Linked DNA regions of Arabidopsis thaliana. The protein of the gene in region 2 interacts with the protein of the main gene of each other region in a pairwise test. Each region holds a gene or a part of one and is shown on either strand. Other genes may lie near its edges. The genes, in order: PFA-DSP1 and PLDALPHA1.

The links.
Region 1: the proteins of PLDALPHA1 (region 2) and PFA-DSP1 interact in a two-hybrid assay, tested with the Arabidopsis thaliana proteins (one large-scale study listed by BioGRID).

The regions. Positions count from the first base shown.
Region 1 is NC_003070.9:1,423,851-1,429,576, reverse strand, and holds PFA-DSP1 (Phosphotyrosine protein phosphatases superfamily protein), read right to left. Parts: upstream 4,039-5,726; 5' UTR 3,918-4,038; coding exon 3,652-3,917; intron 3,562-3,651; coding exon 3,468-3,561; intron 3,343-3,467; coding exon 3,247-3,342; coding exon of another isoform or gene 3,178-3,246; exon of another isoform or gene 1,679-3,177; coding exon 1,621-1,678; intron 1,507-1,620; coding exon 1,463-1,506; intron 1,370-1,462; coding exon 1,184-1,369; 3' UTR 708-1,183; downstream 1-707. Other genes in the region: AT1G05005 (PPR containing protein), read right to left, coding at 1-164, 316-529. UniProt on the Arabidopsis thaliana protein: Cleaves the beta-phosphate at the 5-position of soluble inositol pyrophosphates.
Region 2 is NC_003074.8:5,328,509-5,334,486, forward strand, and holds PLDALPHA1 (phospholipase D alpha 1), read left to right. Parts: upstream 1-1,685; 5' UTR 1,686-1,911; intron 1,912-2,318; 5' UTR 2,319-2,326; coding exon 2,327-2,422; intron 2,423-2,545; coding exon 2,546-4,448; intron 4,449-4,532; coding exon 4,533-4,966; 3' UTR 4,967-5,237; downstream 5,238-5,978. Other genes in the region: AT3G15740 (RING/U-box superfamily protein), read right to left, coding at 5,371-5,978. UniProt on the Arabidopsis thaliana protein: Hydrolyzes glycerol-phospholipids at the terminal phosphodiesteric bond to generate phosphatidic acids (PA).

The DNA.
Region 1 (5,726 bases), on a different chromosome or scaffold from region 2:
GGCCTTCAAAACAGTGTTTGCAGTGACATTGTCGGGTTTCACATCGTCAGATCTCGCGTAAGAGGTTAAGAGCGTGGAGTAATCAATCATGTTTGAAGGGATACTTTTGAAGAACTTGTCTGCTTCTTCTAAACCCAACAGTGTCTCAATCAGATAAAGCCGAGCTGCATAATCTTTCTGAAACAGAGTACACACCTTTTCTTTACCCATATATCTTGATGCCTAATAATACCACAACCAAGAGCACATAATATGTAAGAAACCACAAATTGGTACATAGGTTGAAGATCAGGATTTAGAAGAAATAAAAAAAACTCGCGTTTTTGAGAAAATCGATCCGAATCTCGAAGATTCTTATGAGCCCTCTGGTGTACAATTGTTTCTCATGTTGCTGCAAAGACGCTTTGACCCGAATAAGCAGAGTTTGGCTAGCCTCGGGTGACCATAAGGTTGCATAGGAACGGAACAAAGAACTCTTGTAGCCGCAAGCAAGAATGCGCTTTGCATGTTGTTGAAGAATCGGTGTCATGCTTTTTATTAAAGTAAATGATTAACAACACTCCAGTAGAGTGTTTCGTATTCGTGACCTATAAGGACAACTATCACTCACTTATAGCTAAAAATTGGTACTGGCCTTAGTTAGGTTTCATATTCGTGACTTAACAAACTCTTCACACATCTAGCATGTCTTTTTCAACTAATAAAAATAATGATTAATTCCGTAACTGATTCAAAAAAGAAGTTATAGAGTTATGTTAATGATTGGTCAGTAAATCAAATTAGTCCATATATTTCGGTTTAGCATTACATTGAACAAATTATTTACACACTGATGGTAGTAGCATTTTCCTCTACACACGATAATAACAAATCATGTTCTGAAGAATTGAAATATATGAGCTAATAATCGTTAAGCAACATTCGGGATAACCCAAGAAAATACATATATTCCTAAACAAACTCCTGTATAGTTTACTTTATATATATACGTAATTATCTACCTTTATGCTTACACTGAGCAGTAAAAAAACAGAGTGAAGTCATTATAACAACGAAAACCTTTTCTTTTCTCGAAATAGTATTATTGATTCCAGAGAAAGGTAAAGAAAGAGAAGAATGTTTCCTCTGGAACTCTAATATGATTAATCTCTCCTTTTTATCTGAAGATTTTAGCTTCCCCTGTTTACCTGATGGAACAAGAGAATGACATTGGAATATGACTGAAGCTGGAAACATCGAATATCTCCATGAATCTTTGATCTGAAACTCTAGCTTTCGCTGCTGCAAATCGTTGGTACTCGTCGAATATCGATGTCAAACACCATTTCTGGAGCTTCCTCAAGCAACCAACAAGACAACCGGTCCGATGCTGCAAATTCCAGATTCATACTTAGAAACTCATTTTCTTCTTCAGTGGTGGAGACAAAAGATGAAATGTTTAGGATTGGAGTGAATGATTTACCTTGCCTCGCTTACAATGAATCAGAACAGGATGGTTTTTCTCATCTGAGGATTTTAAAAGGAGAGTTGTTAATAAACCAAGTTAGAATTAGAAAGCATACAAAAAGTGTGGTTACATGTGTTCTTTTATTTCAGCGCTTCTATATGATTCATAGTTACCTAGAAGCACTTTCAGTGCCATGCGGATTTTATGGTCTGGAATATTCACAAATGGCTCCTGAAAATAAGAAGAAAAAATGTCTTTTTAAAATTGTAAGATTATATGTCAAAAGATCAATCACACTACTAAATTGAGCAGATTAGGAAAAGATAAAGCAATCTAATAATCAAGGTTCATGCACAAGCAACGTCGAGAGAGACAACCATGCAAAGGTTCATTAACAGGACAAAGTCTACAAGTTATGAAGCATGTCTAATGTGATACCTTTTACTGGTTGCGTACTGAGAGAAAGATTCTTTACTTTTTTATATCAAAAAGTTATCTCCACACACAACAACAACAACACGGAATAAACACAAAGTCCCATTGAAAGACGAATCTATGAGAAGAAAAAAGCATAGCAAGCCAAGAATATCAGCGATAAAGGTTTCCTATCAAGATCGAAGTTGTCACACTAATTATAAAGAATCTGAGTCCAGAAACAAAAACAAAAGTCAATGAGATCCAGATTCTTCCAATAAAATCACTACACCAAGAAGAGAAAGCCACTTTATTTTCATCTTTAGTGTAAAAGCAAAACTAGGGAACTATGGTAGTAAGTATCTAAACGACTCCCCACATAAAGAATCGACTATCCTAGGAGTAGAATCGACAGGGAAAAGGTGGATTCTGTGGGGGGAGAGAATGATAGCTACTGCATACCAGAACAAACATATTTTCTTTCAAACATATCAACTCAAATTAGATTCATACCCATCTCTTCAGGAAAGGCGAATGGTAACTCATGAGGGTAATAAGTTCAAGACTCTATGGTGAAGTTTTTGGTTATTCTATCACTTTACCAACGATTTGCCCAAACATGAGCCACTAACACATAGAAAAGGAAAGGAACTAAAGGTACGTATTAAACAACATTAACCGACTTACAACGTAACCATCTATCATTTTCCCAGCAATTCCTAACCTTATCTAGATTTCAAACCTTACAGCTAATATGGACACTTTCACGATCAACACGCTTTCTACAAGTTTTTACCATAAAAAACGGTTTACTTGTACACAATCAAAAACACTTTCGCTGATGTATGATTTCATAAGATATCATATCTGTATAAAAAAGTGCACACTCAATAAACATGAACCAAGAAAACAATAACAACAGAAAGTAAGCTATTGAGTAGTGGGATCATTGACAACACTAGCAACAAGTAGCTCAGCAAATATTTTGACGTAGTCCATAATCTAATTTTATAAATAGAGAGTAGAAAGAACAAGTGGGGAATAGTTGCTGAAGGGGCAGAAAAACAAAGAGTGGGACCAAATCAGTGGAGGTCAAGAGAGACGGAAAGAGCCAAAGAGGCAAAACAATAAAGAAAGATGTGTTCTTTTTCTGGTAAACTCATAATAATAAAATATGGCTTGGAACAGAGTGCCCATGAAGGATCAAATTCAAGAGAAAGAAAACACAGAAACAGTTTTAGTAGTCTAAAGTAAACAACAATGAGACAGGATTTTCAAGAACAATTAGGCAATAAATATCAAGCAAATAAAACCCTTCAAATTGAATGAACTATGATATATTCCAGAAATAGTATCGTGTTCCAGTTAATATATGTAGTGTGTACCAAAGTTTTCGAAAGTCCATTAGTTAAGGGACCCTGTTTCTGATGCTTAGAATTCCATAAATGCAAGGAAATCTCGTTGTCTAAGTCAGGAACACACTGCAGCAAGATATGATTTTTCCATTCAGAGAATTCTCCTAGTGAACTATCCAAGTAAGGTTTAGAATTACAGAGCAATTAAAAACGGAGACTTGATGAAGAGAGAGGAGAAGAAAGATGGTTACCTTGTTGCCTTCAATACCAAACTGGAAAAGCCTGATTCCATTGGATTTAAGGAACTGGAGATTGCTCTCTGGGTAGGGCTCCGGGCACAAGTATCTTCACAAATTCGAAAAAACCTAAAATCAGCAATTTCGAAAGTTTGATATATAGTATACAAAATGTCATGAATGTGGAAGGAGCTTTTACATGATTGAGCGGAGACCGAGAGTCTGGAGAAAGGAGAAGTTAGCTGAATCAGGGAATCCAGACCGGAATATACCGTTATCGACCATGGAGAAGTTGAGCGGCGGAATTAGGTGAAGTTCTTCGCCGGAGACAACTCGAAAGGGATCAGCTTCACCGCCCGGAGCCTGAAACACGTTTCTGTTAACCTCGGAAACCTCGATGATGGTGCGGCAGAAATCTTCTCCATTGTCCTGCTCTGTAGTAGTCGTCTTCTCCACAAGCTTCATCTCTGAATTGGGAAACAGAGAAAAGGTTGAATCTTTAGGTGAGGAGAGTCGAGTAATGGAGATGGTCGTTACGTAGCGTCGACCTTGGGGAGGTTTATATGGAGAGAGACTTGTGACTCTGTTCAAAATTCAACAGACGAAAAAGAACGCAAAGGAGATGGACCCAGCAAGGACTCCTTTTTTATTTTTATTTTTTGTTTGTCAATAGCTGTTTATTTGTTTATTTTTAAAGAATTTGTGACATTTATCTTAAAAGCTTTTTTGTTTATAATCTGTTAAGTGTTTTTACTTTTTAGATACCTTTTAGCATATGTGAAAATAGTTGATTGGATCTACAATTTCATACTGAAATCCGTAATCTGTAAAAAAAAAAAGCTTAGAAAAAAATAAGTTGCCACTACACAAAAGAATCCAATATTAGAATAAACAGTTTAATATTTTATATTTACTCAAGTTGAGCTGAAAACAGCAACATACGGAAACTATATAATAATTAACAATACACGAATTTTGTAACGGTCTATCTTAGTTGTACATGCTACTACCATTTTTATCAACGGTTGATAATAACAATAATAATAGTATGATGGTCTAATTTGAGGAAATAACTGTTATAACATTTTCAAGGATTATTAAAGTAAACAAAATAAAATGACTTTGCAGTTTTGCAAAACAAACGAAAAAAATGATATTACATAAATTGTTCTTGTTAATAGGAAAGCACTTGTTGAAGCTTAAATTGGCATCATTGTGGAATCTTTTTGCTCACACACAATCATCTTATTCGGGTAAATCACTCTCATTGAATAAATTATCAACCGAACCTAAAATCATTTTTTGACTATATATTTTCACCAATATTATAATATTTAATATTTTGAATTTGAAGTTTCTGACCTATATTTACCTTGAAAAAGTCACTTATTCACAATATACAAAAATATTGACTACTACATACTAACATACATATATATCATCATTCCAGGAAATAGCGAAAATATAGATTCCAAGCGAAACACAGAGAAATAAAAAGAGAGAGAGAGATTCCAAAGGACAAAGAGCAATTACTCTGCTAAGTGGGAAGAACAATCACTAATCTGAGTCATCTGGCATTCATAAACGCACCTTTATTTAAGTTCTATGGGATCGTAATCTGAGTACATTAATTACTTCTATGTTCCTTTCACATTTTGTTTTGTTAAACAATTTCATAATATTGTTTTGAAATGTATAATTTTAGCCAATATTCGGTTTTAATATTTGTTACTGCCTTTTTTTTTTTTTTTTCCACCAATTTGTTACTGCCTTGAAATAACTATTTAATTGTGTGAAAATAAAATTCGGTCCAAACTATCTACTGTAGTTGCCATTTCTGTCATACATGATACTACATAATAACACGGACGCCGTGTTTTACCTTTTTTTTGGGGTCAAATTTCGTATAAAGAAAAATGGAGACGAATGTTTTTCTTCGGTGCATAATCGCACCATTTAAATATATGTCTATTACATAATCAAAACGAAATAATGCAAAAAGAACCACATCACGACAATACATTATTAGAATCCACGTCACATATTTGTCTTCCACATAACACTCACACCAGAAAACTACTCTTTTCTAATTAAAAAAAAACAGATGATAACTAAGCTAAAGACATAAAATTTGTAATGTTTAGTGTCCCACACTGGACTTTAATTGGATAAATTACTCCATAAAAACAAAATGCACCAGATAGTTTTTTTATAAGAAAAACAAAAAAGGTACATTCCAGGGAATATACCTTATGATTCTCAAGGATTATTGCG
Region 2 (5,978 bases):
ACATTTATATAATCTATCCGAAGAAACTTGTGTTTGCTTCTTAGGCCATCTTCAACGGTAAAATTAGGTGGATTATCTTAAAATATTGTTTTTTAATTATTATCATATAATATTATTATTTACTTAAATAATTATTCTGAAAATAATAATTTAACCTATTAAAATGTAACCTATTATTTACTTTTCTCTCTCTCCTACTTTATTATTATTTTATATTTTTTAGTTAGTGAAAAACCATACTAGAGACTACTGATGGAGATGTTCTTATCTTTTCTGTCTATTTTTGACTTTCATGATTCGCTTTTAGTTTCTTTTCTTCGGCTTCGCTTTTGGGTTTTCTATTTTAGCTTTTTTCTTTTTGCTTATAAGAAAAAAAAAAAAACTAATTATGTACTTATTGTAGTTTAATTATAGTAATATTCTTTTGATTTTTTTTCTTTTTTTTCCTACTAAACAGTTAAAGATTCACGTACTACTTATCAAATTCAGTTCAGACAGTCGGACAATATCAATAGGTGCACCTAAATTTCATTCCAAGTTTTACCCTACCACAAAAAAAAAAAATCATTCCAAGATACAGGCCTAAATACGTGTACAGAATGTTAAATCACCAGGCCCAATTATGGCCCATATTCAAATATCAATAGCACCTAAATTTCTAGTTTCTACGTCCCTTCTTCATTTTTTCCTTGGGTCAACTAAAATTCAAAAGTCCTATTTTCTAAAATAAGCTAATATAGAAGCAAAACAAAGGAATTGGGTTATTTTAAGTCCAGATTTTTCAGACAAGTCACCGGTGAGCGGTGGCTGCGTATCAGAAACCTTGCCGTGAGCATTGCTAAATAATAAACATAGATAGGGGAATAAGCTCCAAAATAAGCTCCCTTGTATCCTACCATTGTGTTACAATTTAGCATTACGCCGAGTTGCCAATACTGTCTTAATTTTCCCTTTGATCCCCATATATGAGACACCTCTGATCTGTTCTTCACCGCATTTTTATGATTGACGGTTTTGCTGATGGTTAGTACATTAGAACTTATTAGATACCAGAGAATGCAAATACATTGTATAATCCCCATGTGGCCACGTTCCGTTTATGAGGAGTAATATTTTATACAACTATCACATTCTTCTTTACCCAAAAAAAACGAAAAAAAAAACTACCCAATCTTATAGCGAAGATGTGTGAGATCCAATGATGAAGCAATTAAATTATTGCTAGTGAATTCATGTCATTATGCGAACACGTACTACTTGAGAAAAGTACACCATATAGTTTTCTTGTGATGGACGGTGAGGATTCAGCTTGGGAAACGATGTCGTAACGTTTGGATGCAGAACGTCGGGCGCACGATTTGGATATCTCTTTTTTTTTTTTGTCTCCCCTATCCTCAAGTCAGGGATTTTATTACAACTTTGAATATTTATTTCCTTTTTTTATGTCGGCCTTCTTAAAACTTTTCAAGATTTTCAATTAGTCACTAAACTTTCCATTTTATCTTTTTCACTCTATTATATAATTTTAGATGTAACGTAAAATATTACTATTAGGATGTGAGATAACATAATCCAACCACAATTATATCGTTATCTAGTAACATTAACTATATATTATAAGTTATAAATTGAAAGGAATCTCTTGAGAGTAACTATTTAGGGCCTAATTGTGAAACTAAAAACGTGTAGGGCTGAAACTAATAACAATTCGTACGTTGGGTCACTATTAAATCATCAAAGATCTGTAGAAAATAATGAAAAAGTGGCCCCACACGCTCCAATTAAATTACAGCAGCTCCACAAAGTAGCTCTTAAAGAGCTTCCATCACGGACCAGATCCCGAATTCTTCTTCTGACCACCGAACGATTGAGTTTCTCCGATCAGATCTCAGTTTCTGGGAATAATTCGAAGTTAGTATTTCTCTACTTCATCTCTATGAATCTCATTCATTTTATCTTTATGTTTCTCTTTACTTGTTTTGCGATTAAAACTCGTTTGATCATTTAGGTGGTTCTTTGTTTTGTGAGATAAGTGGAACTCGCTGACTTTTTTTTTTTTCTTTTTGGATAATCAACGATCGGGTTCATTTGCTATTGTCCTCTAGTGTTACACTGATACGATCTTTAGTTTTGAGTTAGATCAGTGACTTTAGTTTCACTATTCAACTAGTGTTCCTTGTTTTTAGGACAATACTGCGAAAATTTAGCTGCTCTAAAATTTTGATACCAGATCTTTGAGATTCGTAGATCTCGCTTTTCTTTTTTTTTAGTTTTTTCAGAAACTAATATTGTGTTCTGGTCAATTCTTATTGCTAAAGGTGAAAAAATGGCGCAGCATCTGTTGCACGGGACTTTACATGCTACCATCTATGAAGTTGATGCCCTCCATGGTGGTGGTGTTAGGCAAGGCTTCCTTGGCAAGGTATAATAAGATCCATTGTTATTGCATCATTTTTGCGCCAATCCTGACGTCTTATTTTGTAGTTCAAATTAGTCTGTGGACTAATACACAGTTTGATCTTTATTTTTCTGATGAAACTTTCAGATTCTGGCAAATGTAGAAGAGACGATTGGTGTTGGTAAAGGAGAAACACAGTTGTATGCGACGATTGATCTGCAAAAAGCTAGAGTTGGGAGAACCAGGAAGATCAAAAATGAACCTAAGAACCCAAAGTGGTATGAGTCGTTTCATATTTACTGTGCTCACTTGGCTTCTGATATCATCTTCACTGTTAAAGATGATAATCCCATTGGAGCTACCCTTATCGGAAGAGCTTACATTCCTGTTGATCAAGTCATTAACGGCGAGGAAGTGGATCAGTGGGTTGAGATCTTGGATAATGACAGAAACCCTATTCAGGGAGGATCAAAGATTCATGTCAAGCTTCAATATTTCCATGTTGAGGAGGATCGTAACTGGAACATGGGTATCAAAAGTGCCAAGTTCCCTGGAGTGCCATACACATTCTTCTCGCAGAGACAAGGCTGCAAAGTTTCTCTGTACCAAGATGCTCATATTCCAGACAACTTTGTCCCTAGAATTCCTCTCGCTGGAGGGAAGAACTATGAGCCTCAAAGATGTTGGGAGGATATTTTTGATGCTATTAGCAATGCAAAACACTTGATCTACATTACTGGTTGGTCTGTTTACGCTGAGATTGCTTTAGTGAGGGACTCGAGGAGGCCTAAGCCTGGAGGTGATGTGACCATTGGTGAGCTACTCAAGAAGAAGGCTAGTGAAGGTGTCAGGGTTCTTTTGCTTGTTTGGGATGACAGAACTTCTGTTGATGTGCTGAAGAAAGATGGGCTCATGGCTACTCATGATGAAGAGACCGAGAATTTCTTCAGGGGAAGTGATGTCCATTGTATTCTGTGCCCTCGTAACCCGGATGACGGTGGTAGCATAGTCCAAAGTTTGCAGATCTCTACTATGTTCACGCATCATCAGAAAATCGTTGTTGTGGACAGCGAGATGCCAAGCAGAGGAGGATCAGAAATGAGGAGAATTGTGAGTTTTGTTGGCGGTATTGATCTTTGTGATGGAAGATACGACACTCCGTTCCACTCCTTGTTCAGGACATTGGACACAGTCCACCATGATGACTTCCATCAACCTAACTTCACTGGTGCTGCTATCACTAAAGGTGGTCCAAGGGAGCCTTGGCATGACATTCACTCCCGTCTTGAAGGTCCAATTGCTTGGGATGTCATGTACAACTTCGAGCAGAGATGGAGCAAGCAGGGTGGTAAAGACATTCTGGTTAAGTTGAGAGATCTTAGTGATATTATTATCACCCCTTCTCCTGTTATGTTCCAAGAGGACCACGATGTGTGGAATGTCCAATTGTTTAGGTCCATTGATGGAGGAGCTGCTGCTGGGTTTCCCGAGTCGCCTGAAGCTGCTGCGGAAGCCGGGCTTGTAAGTGGGAAAGATAACATCATTGATAGGAGTATCCAAGATGCTTACATTCATGCAATCAGACGTGCTAAGGATTTCATCTACGTTGAAAACCAGTACTTCCTTGGGAGTTCTTTTGCTTGGGCAGCCGATGGTATTACTCCTGAGGACATCAATGCCCTGCACTTAATCCCAAAAGAGTTGTCGCTGAAGATAGTTAGCAAGATTGAGAAAGGAGAGAAGTTCAGGGTCTATGTTGTGGTTCCAATGTGGCCAGAAGGTCTCCCAGAGAGTGGATCAGTGCAAGCTATATTAGACTGGCAGAGGAGGACCATGGAGATGATGTACAAGGATGTGATTCAGGCTCTCAGGGCCCAGGGTCTTGAGGAAGATCCAAGAAACTATCTGACATTCTTCTGTCTTGGAAACCGTGAGGTCAAGAAAGATGGAGAGTATGAGCCTGCTGAGAAACCAGACCCCGACACTGATTACATGAGGGCGCAAGAAGCACGCCGTTTCATGATTTACGTCCACACCAAAATGATGATCGGTAAGTTCACATTTCAACGGAAAAAAACTTGAGAAGTATACATAAATGTTGTGCCTGATTCATTTGATGAAATCCATTTTGCAGTTGACGATGAATACATTATCATTGGGTCTGCTAACATCAACCAGAGGTCAATGGACGGTGCAAGAGACTCTGAGATAGCAATGGGAGGTTATCAACCACATCACTTGTCCCATAGACAACCAGCTCGTGGCCAGATCCATGGGTTTCGTATGTCACTCTGGTACGAACACCTGGGAATGCTCGATGAAACCTTCCTCGATCCATCAAGCTTGGAATGCATTGAGAAAGTTAACCGCATTTCTGACAAGTATTGGGACTTTTACTCAAGTGAGTCACTCGAACATGACCTTCCTGGTCACTTGCTCCGCTACCCGATCGGTGTAGCCAGCGAAGGCGACATCACTGAGCTTCCAGGATTTGAATTCTTCCCGGACACAAAGGCCCGTATCCTCGGCACCAAATCAGACTACCTGCCTCCAATCCTTACAACCTAATCTCACTAAGCATGTCAAGTAATGATCTCTCTCTCCCTCTCTGCTTTGCTGCTGTTGTAGCTTTGAATAAAACTTGAGTGTCTACCTTTAGAATTAAGAAGTCAAATGGTTGTTATGATGATGCACTTCTTTACCCCTTTGGTTTTTATATTCGTACAATGACGTGGTGAGAGAATGTAGCTTTGTGATCTTGTTTTGTTGTTGTTATGTACCTTTGGACTTATGAATCTTATATCTGATCCTTTTCTTTTTATTTAGTGTGTTTCACATCAAAGTTTAAACAAAAATAGCAATGAACTAGGTAAAACATACTTCATTAGAAAAGTGAAAGTGACAATCTAGAGATAAAGCATGAAACTAGGGTTCATATAGCACAAAACTAATACAAAAGGGGTTTTAAAGTTTTAAGCCGGAAACAGGGCACGACACACCGGACAAATCCCACTGTTCCTAAGCCATTCCTCTCCACAAGTACGATGAAACACATGCGAACACGGCATTCGACCCGCTTCCACATCTGACCCAACTCGGATATTATCCATGCATATCACACAATAGCCTTCATTCTCAACAACAAGCGTCTCCAAGTGCATCTCCACCGCCTCATCGTTCGCTGGAGCAACCGCAAGTTGCACTTGCACATCTACGTGATCATCTTCACCGGGAAACCTCGAGACAGTAACACCTATCTTTACTTGTACCCTCTCCACGTCTTTCGCACCATCTTTCTTCAAATCCTTAATCTCATCAGCAAGAGTGTTAACAATAGCAGAATAAGGAGGGACTTGGAGCGAATCTAGAATGTGATAGACGATGGCTAGTGAATGATCACCGTCTCCACCAAACAACCAATCTCGATCAAACTCGTGTGTTTGCTCAAGGGTTAGAGTTTGAAGATTGTCAAAATCGGGAAAATCTTCTTCTTCTTCAACGTCATCATCTTCTTCTTCGGCACGAGTGTAATGCACTTTGAAATCGAAAAACAATTTTTGGCTCTTTCGTAGTTCTCCGT